Macaca fascicularis: one gene and its partner. The protein of the gene in region 2 interacts with the protein of the main gene of each other region in a biochemical or structural test. Links are inferred from orthologs where the notes say so. Each region holds a gene or a part of one and is shown on either strand. Other genes may lie near its edges.

What was found.
Region 1: the proteins of TRDN (region 2) and CASQ2 form a complex in vitro, tested with the Homo sapiens proteins (3 studies listed by BioGRID). The link is inferred for Macaca fascicularis from reciprocal best matches to the Homo sapiens genes TRDN and CASQ2.

Annotation. Positions count from the first base shown.
Region 1 is NC_088375.1:118,620,778-118,624,719, reverse strand, and holds the start of CASQ2 (calsequestrin-2), read right to left. Parts: upstream 2,812-3,942; 5' UTR 2,637-2,811; coding exon 2,403-2,636; intron 1-2,402. UniProt on the Homo sapiens protein: Calsequestrin is a high-capacity, moderate affinity, calcium-binding protein and thus acts as an internal calcium store in muscle. Calcium ions are bound by clusters of acidic residues at the protein surface, especially at the interface between subunits.
Region 2 is NC_088378.1:27,577,445-27,581,460, forward strand, and holds the start of TRDN (triadin), read right to left. Parts: upstream 2,804-4,016; 5' UTR 2,607-2,803; coding exon 2,585-2,606; intron 1-2,584. UniProt on the Homo sapiens protein: Contributes to the regulation of lumenal Ca2+ release via the sarcoplasmic reticulum calcium release channels RYR1 and RYR2, a key step in triggering skeletal and heart muscle contraction.

The DNA.
Region 1 (3,942 bases), on a different chromosome or scaffold from region 2:
TAGAGGATTAAGAGGACAAAATAGTTATTTTGACGATGACAAAAGTTTAAAGACGTGTTCACTCTTTCCACTCATGGACTTCTTGGAGCCATTTTTTCCCTTGATGCTGCACCTGACAAGTATCTCAACAAAGGCCTGCCCCTTCCTCACCTTCACTAATGGAGCCCAGGCCTCCGCCTCGGTTTGGACTTTTGCATAAGCAGTGCCTCCAGGCCATGTACTTCTCGGCCATGCTGGTGGTACAGCTGGCATCATCAGACCCGGGCCCAGAGGCTGAGCAACTCTGTTTAAGGAAGACTCTTGAAACCGTCTTAAACAGTCTACCCAGAAGCCCTTTGGGCATTTTCGCACTGATTTCAGGAGAGGCGCAGTATAGGTATCACGTACTGCCTTCATCTGCAGTAGCTGTGTAACCTTGGACAACTTAGCCTCTCTGCTTCAGTTTCCCCATCTATAAAATGGAATTGGTAACTGTACCTACTTAATAGAATAAGGATTAAGCAAGCTAACACATACCAAGTGCTTAGGACAGTCCCTGTACTTAGTAAGCATTTAATTAACATTATTATTATTTAATCATTTCTTAGGCCTGCATGATAGTTATTATTTTTCTATATTTATAGATAAGAAAATGAGGCTCTGAGAAATTACGTAATTTGCCCTGCGTCCTATGCCTAGTAGAGACAAAGCCAGAACTTAAATCCGGATATCCTGACTTCAAGTTCTGTGTTCTTTTTCTCCTAATGATGCCTCACTCCAGCTTTAGCAGCCTAGGGGCATCAAATTAACTCCTGTCGTGAACTTTTCCTTATCGGTCTCTGCTGGGCTGGCACCCAACTGTGGAAAGGGCACTCTTGGATCAAAGGTGTCTGGAGGGATGGTAAGCCCAGGGGAAGTTCCTGTTCATGATTTTGCATAGTCTTTGGGGACATATATACTTGGGGGAGCTAGAGATAGATAGATAGATAGATAGATAGATAGATAGATAGATAGATAGATAGATAGATAGATGATAGAAAGAGATTTCTTTTTAAAAAATTAGAATCAGAAATGAATGTCCTTGACTGTACTGGCCAACCAAAGGCAATCTTTTGGAGTTCTAGGCTAACTGGACAGCAATGAGCATATAGGGGAGAATCCTTATGCCTTCTATTAAGTTTTCATAACAATGTCTCTTGATAACTGAGTATGGCAGTTTGAAATGGAGATACAATGTAAGTGTTGGTTTCATGGGCTAAGCAGCAGCTAAGTTCTATGTCCTGTTCTTTTCCAGCCTGTGATTTGCTCATTTCTATAGAATAAAGTCTTAATAACTATCCCTGCTTTCTCTTTTCTTGCAACCCACAGAGAGAACTGAACTTCCACATTCAGCACTCAAGGTTGGAAATATATTTTTGATGTATTTGGGATAGTTTTGCTGGATTTTATGACAGTCAATGTTTCAATTGGAAAAAATTCAAATCCACATGGGTTTTATACGATAATTCTGTTAATCAAACTGTTTCATCAACCTGAGTTCTCTGATTGCACTGGTTAATAAACTGTAATTCTCAAATATCCTTTTCACAGGTTTGCGCCTGGGCTAGGCATGGGGACTGATGAGGCATCTTGGTGCCCACTAGCATTCTTGGCACCCTCAGGCACTCTTAAAGTATAAGCCATCTTAAGCTGTCCAGGAGGAGCTGCAGGAATAGTTTCTGGGGCACTCGCAAAGGATTAGAAAATGGGCCCCAGTGCCAGGTTACAAACAGGCAGGCCATGTAATGCGGATAAAATAAGAACTGACTTCAGCTCTGCCCTAAAGTCACACCAACAACTTTCTGAGGAAAAAAAAAAAAATCACATAAATGAATATGCCGCTCAGAAAATCTGCACACAACTACATTCTGTAATGCTGACTGACAGCAAATCACAAGAGAGGAGAGTCATTTAGTGATATTTTCCATCTGACCCCCAGAGAGAGGCAAGGTCAAGTAACTCTGGTCTCTCCAGGATCACAGGGAGATTTGAGGGAGCAGAGTGGGCACACTGAGTGACATCCACAAGTAGTCCCTGGATTTCATTTCAGCCAACCGTTTTAACAACAGTTTCTGCATTCTATCTGGGAAACAGTGACTGGGACAAGGGCCCTTGAAAAGTCAAGGGGGCCATAGAGACTTTACATCAGACCCATCATAGTGTAGCACGTTTGGTCCTCTTCATTTGAAGAGTTAGGACCCACCCCTCATTGTTCACACACCCCAGCTGTGCAACAAGGGCATCTGATTCACATGAGGCCAAAATAAAGCAGACCTCAGTATATATTCTCTGCATCCTCGTTCCCATATCCCAACCCCTGGCCAAAGGCATTCCCTCAGCACCTCACTGAGGCAGCGCGGACAGCACGCCCTTTGATTACTTACCTCAAGCACGATTTCTTTCAGTTGGAACTGTTTTTGCGCGACCTTATCTGAAGACACCGGCTCGTGGTAGTAGAGGCAGAGCAAGTCATATTTCTTTAAAACCTGCTTGAAGTTCTTCTCGGAAAGACTTACCACTCGGTCCTTCCCATCATATGTGGGGAAATTAAGCCCCTCTTCTGCCCTGCAAGAGGACAGAAAATAAACCCCCACAATAAACAAGTGAGTTCTCTTCATTTGGAAAAATTTTTGTTTCTTGTTCCCAAATATGCCGTGTGCAGAAGAAAGGACAGAAGACTATTAGAGGCCTTGTTGAGCCAAGCAGGGAGCAGACAGGCTGACTTTGTCTCTCTTCTTTGCCCTTCCTGGGGCGGAGAAGTGACTCTTCACCTCCTTGGGTCCAGCCAGCTCTGGAATCGTGGGCTCAGGACAAAGAGCAGAGGCGCACACACTCACTCACACACACACACACACACACACACGCACGCGCGAGAGTAGAAAAACAGCCAAGCTAGGGAGGCTGGGAGGCCAAGCCCCAGATACCTTACATAGCTCTGCTCAGCCTCTGTCTCATTAGGAACTCCATTTTTAGGATGCAGTTGTTTCAGGCTAAAAATAAATCATGCAATGAATAAAAAAGTTAGATACGACACTGTAGAGGGATTCGCTGATACAGTCTGTCCGAATGGCGAAGAGGGAAGAGGCAGGAGGAAAAAGACAAGAATGTGCACGCATGAAATAAGGAGGCTAGAAAGGTCAAAGAAGAGAAAGAAACTCGAGAGGGAGAGAGATAAGGGACTATGGTGCCAATAAGCAAATGGGGAGTTCAAACATACAGAATGACACTCATGCATTACTGAATTGTTCAATCACTCCAGGGAGGTAACTCAGCCTGTGGTTGCTCACCCTCTGTTCCTCACTGCAACATGAAACAAAACAGAGGCCCAAGGTAGACTTCCTCATGTTCTACTCCTGTTTTTTTCTGCCTTCCATCCTCTCTTCTTAAAAATCCTCTGCCAGCCACTGGGCGAGGGGTGCAGGGACACCCTGCTGAACCCAGCTGACACCAGAAGAATCTGTCCTCATTAGAATAAAATGAAACAAGGTTCACAGCTCAAATCCCTACTCAGCCTTTTAACAGCTAATGAACTTTGGAGGGTCACTTGCCCCCTCTGATGATCAGTTCCCCTCTATGTAAAGTGGGGATGATAATAACCATAAAGTTTAAAACACATAGATGAACAAGCATGGCACAAAATAGGTGCTCAAAAATGGTAGCTATTGTACTTCCTTCTCACTGGAGCTGGTGGAACATTGGTTATATAATGGATATTTGTCTGTTTCTAATATGAATGGTTTGTGAACCCTTTCTTGTCCATTTTCTCCTTGAATCCAGTAGGCAACTGGGGCAGAAGTGATCAGGGCTCATCCCACCACTGAGCTAACAGCAACTTGTCTGAGTTTGCAGCGTTTCTAACTGCCAGAGCAAGAATTCCACCCTGCCTCAAAGCTGCTGCTCCTGGTTGTCTTGCCTCTGACTCTG
Region 2 (4,016 bases):
CCCCAGGCGTGGTGGTTCATGCCTGTATTCCCAATGTTTTGGGAGGCAGAGACAAGAGAATCTTGGCTTGAGGCCAGTAGTTCAAGTACAGCCTGGTCAACATAACAAGATCCTGTCTTTACAAAAATAAAGCAAAAAAAAAGTTAGCCAGGCATGGTGGTGCACACCTGTAGTCCTAACTACTTCTGATGCTGAGGTAGAAAGGTTGCTGGAGCCCAGGAGTTTGAGACTGCAGTGAGCTATGATCATGCCACTGCATTCTAATATGGGTGACAGAGAAACTCTGCTCTAAAATAAATAAATAAATAAATAAATAAGTGGTTGAGAAAGAAATATAGCAGATGAGATAAAATAAGACTATTCCAGGCTCAGAAAATAGCCTGTACCAAGGCATTGTACAAAGGTATACCTTTTATAAAGGACTGGAGGAAGGCAATTGTAGCTAGGGCACAGAAAGTGAGAATTGCCAAGGTAACATGAAACTGTGTAGTAAAACAGTGTGCAAAAAACTTTGGATATCCTCAAAGAATGACTGTGCTACCTTAAAAGATAACTTCATTTGAGTTGACAGTCTAATTTTCATTTGAGAAATATTATTAATAAATCACTCCAGAAAATGAAAAAAAGTACATAATTGATGTTTAGATAATATAGATCCTATGAACTGTTAAGACCCGGAAGTGGCAAATGACCATCACCCAGGAATTAGATGGTATTTCTACTTTTTAATTTTATTACTAATTCAATTACTTTTATGGGTGACTCCAGAAGGTCTTCTAAGGCCCTTTTAAACCCCTGCAGAGTGGAGGCAGAAACAAAAGTTCTATTTCATAATCACGAATTTTCCTGTAAAAAGTCTTTTGAATCAACTGCAAGTTCTACAGAACATAAGCCACAAACAAGCCCAAGATGGTTTAGTCAACCGACCTCCTGAATCACCTGGGAGCCCAAACACTGAGCAGAGGTAGAGAAACAGAAGATTAAGACACTCATAGCTATCTTAATACCTTGTGCAGAGCTAAGCAATAAGTTTTTATAGATAGCTTTCTTTAAGGCAAACTAAAAGCAACGTGACACAGAATATTTAAGGAATAGGAAAAATGCTATTTATATTTAGTTAGCAAATTCTGAACTAAAACTGGTAAAGAGTAAACCTGATATCCTCTCACAGAAAAGAAAACACACACACACACACAAATGAGATTTAAAGGGGCTGGCTTTAAATGTTAGTAATGCTATAGTCTTGAGCGAGTCACAGAACATGTTAGCTACAGTTCCTTTTTCTGCCAAACTGAGATAATAATGCCTCCTTAATTGAATTGTGTCAGTTTTAAATAAGTAAACACCCATAACATTCTGAGCAAAATACCTAACACGCAGAATTCTCTCAGTAATTGTTATTAATTTGGGGTGTCAGACTGAATTTCTCAGTGTAAGGTACAAATAAGGCAATTCTTACAAATATTGACTGAAAATCTCCAAGAGAAATTACTGTGTGTCGATACTAATTTCTACCCTCAAAATAAAAACACATATTCTATAGTTCAGTTGTATTATTCAAAGCAAACCAGCACAGCATTTAACTTGGAAGTTGTTAAGAGCACCACCTGTCTGAGTTTCTTACAGCTGTCAGAAGCAAATTTTAGATCCACCTCCAAAATTTTACCTCAACTAGAACCAGACTGTGACTGTATTCAGAGTAATTTAGTTTTGAAGGGCTTCTTCATTCTAAGAAATATGTACACATATATATATATATGAAGCATATATGGAATATAAATATATATAACTAGCAACCATCAAATAGAAGATATGTATTATAATTATAGTATGTAGCTTTCAGTAAAGCATTGAAGCAGAAAATATTTATTGTAACATAAAGATAGAATTTACCATTTAGAGGAAAATGAAGAATGAATTTATGAAAAGAACCAGAATTCTAAACTTAATTACTTTATTTTAAAAATCATATTGATGCACAGTAAGTTTGTGGAATTCCAATCTTTATCTCTGAATTTCCATTAACGGTCAAATAAACACAAATTTTGTGAGACCACTTATGTCTTAAATTGTATATAAATCATATATATGTGTGTGTGTTTTACATACCCTAGTAGGAAAGGAAAAACAAACTTAAGGTCTCCATTTAAAAATATCATAAAGTAAAAATGCTTCAAATTACTTTTTAAGTTTAAGTAAGCATTAGTGTAATATTTTAAGTTCATCATGGTCTCCATCCTTGAAAACTTTGTAATTTTTGCTGGATAAGATATCATCCATCATGTTACATGACCATAGCTATTTATAGAGGTGTGAGTAACAACTGTTATCTAGTGGGGCCTTTGGTATAGCAGAGAATAGTTTCCACATGCAAAATTTAAGAGAAATCTCTTTTTGCTCCCCCAATATACAGATCTGGCAGCCTCTCAGCTCCTAAATCCACTTCTCAGATCCTGTATAGAATCATTGACCACGACAATTACCTTAAAGCAACGTTTTAAATGGACACATCAACAGTCCATGTGGCTGTCAATTTGCATATTTTTTTTCCTTACTTGATACTATTGGAAAATGGTAGCAATACCTTCAGCAGTGATCTCAGTCATGGTGGTCGTCAAAAGTAAATGTCAGTTGAAAAGTTCCCGTCAAGTAGCACTTTGCAGACTATTTGGGGATTTGAGAACTCTGGTAGAGGATTCTGTGTCAAAACCTGGGGGCTCTTCTTTTTCCTGGCTGTTTCTGCTGCTTCTTTGTTGTCCTGTTGAACTTTGCCTCTCCTCTGCAGAGTTCTCCCCCTGGAATCAACCTAAGCCCTTTCCAAGCAGCACTTGTGGCTCAGTTAGAAGTATCAGCTTCAAACAAAAATAGCCTCATCTCCCTAGGACTCTTCAGCATGTTTTTTTTTTTTTTTTTTTTTTTTTTTTTTTTTTTGGCACTCTAGAGGAACACACACAAAGACACACCAGCTCTCCAGCCCCAAAGAGAGACAGGCAAAAAAAAAAAAAAAAAAGAAGAAGAAGCAGCCAAATGAACTACAAAGTACCATCTAAGCCCGCACAGTTTCTCTAAGACAATTACAGATCTTGGGGTCTATGTCAGAAAACATGAAGTAAAGAGTTGAAAGTAATCTTATCCATGAGAGCTCAGATTTATTCTTAGTGCTTTTAATGGTCAGAACATTCTTCTTTCCCTTATTTGGCTTGGGGAGGGTCCCAAATGTCTACCACAGGCAAACGGGAGGGCAGTCTTAAGTAATTTTCTAAAAGTTGTGTTCCTGTTGATACAAATCCACTTAGCAAGTGCAGTTATTTTTATAGGGCTACACTTAAAATTGCAACGATTAAATCCTAAAGCTTTCTTTTAAAGTAGTCATACTGTAGAAGAGTAATATTTTCTGAACACTGACCAATAAGAATTACGTAATGTGAATTTATAGTGTGATACTTGAAAACCAATGGATTCATGAATTACTATGTTTTTAATTCTCTTTAATACCTAACTAAAAACTAAATATCTGCATTTATCCTTGCAATAAAAGGAAGCGAAGGTGACATAAAATTTAGTGGTCCACAGCCAATATTTTAGTAAAATATTTCCTTATCTCAACTTAAAAAAAAAAAGGATTATAGCAGCCACTAACAATTAACCAAATTGTCTGATTAGCATTTCACCTTCCCACTCCTAGACAGGTGTTAATGAGCAAAAAAATATTCAATAGTTGGTAGCTGGAAGGAAAAGGATAATCGAAGGGCACTGATAATCATAAACTCTAGCCAATCCGTAAATAATCAAGGGTGGGCTACACTTTTATTTTATTCTCATATTCAACCTACTACATGCTTGTAGTTTAATCTTTTAGCTTGAACTTGCTACCTTTTGTTTTCAGACCTCCTGAATTCATATGGTACTTCATAGATCATGAAGCAAAGCCATGTTTGTTATTTTTAAAATTCAGGCTCAGAAGAGTACTGCAACAGCTATTTCTGTAGGCAATGACCTCCTCCCTGTTAGTGGTT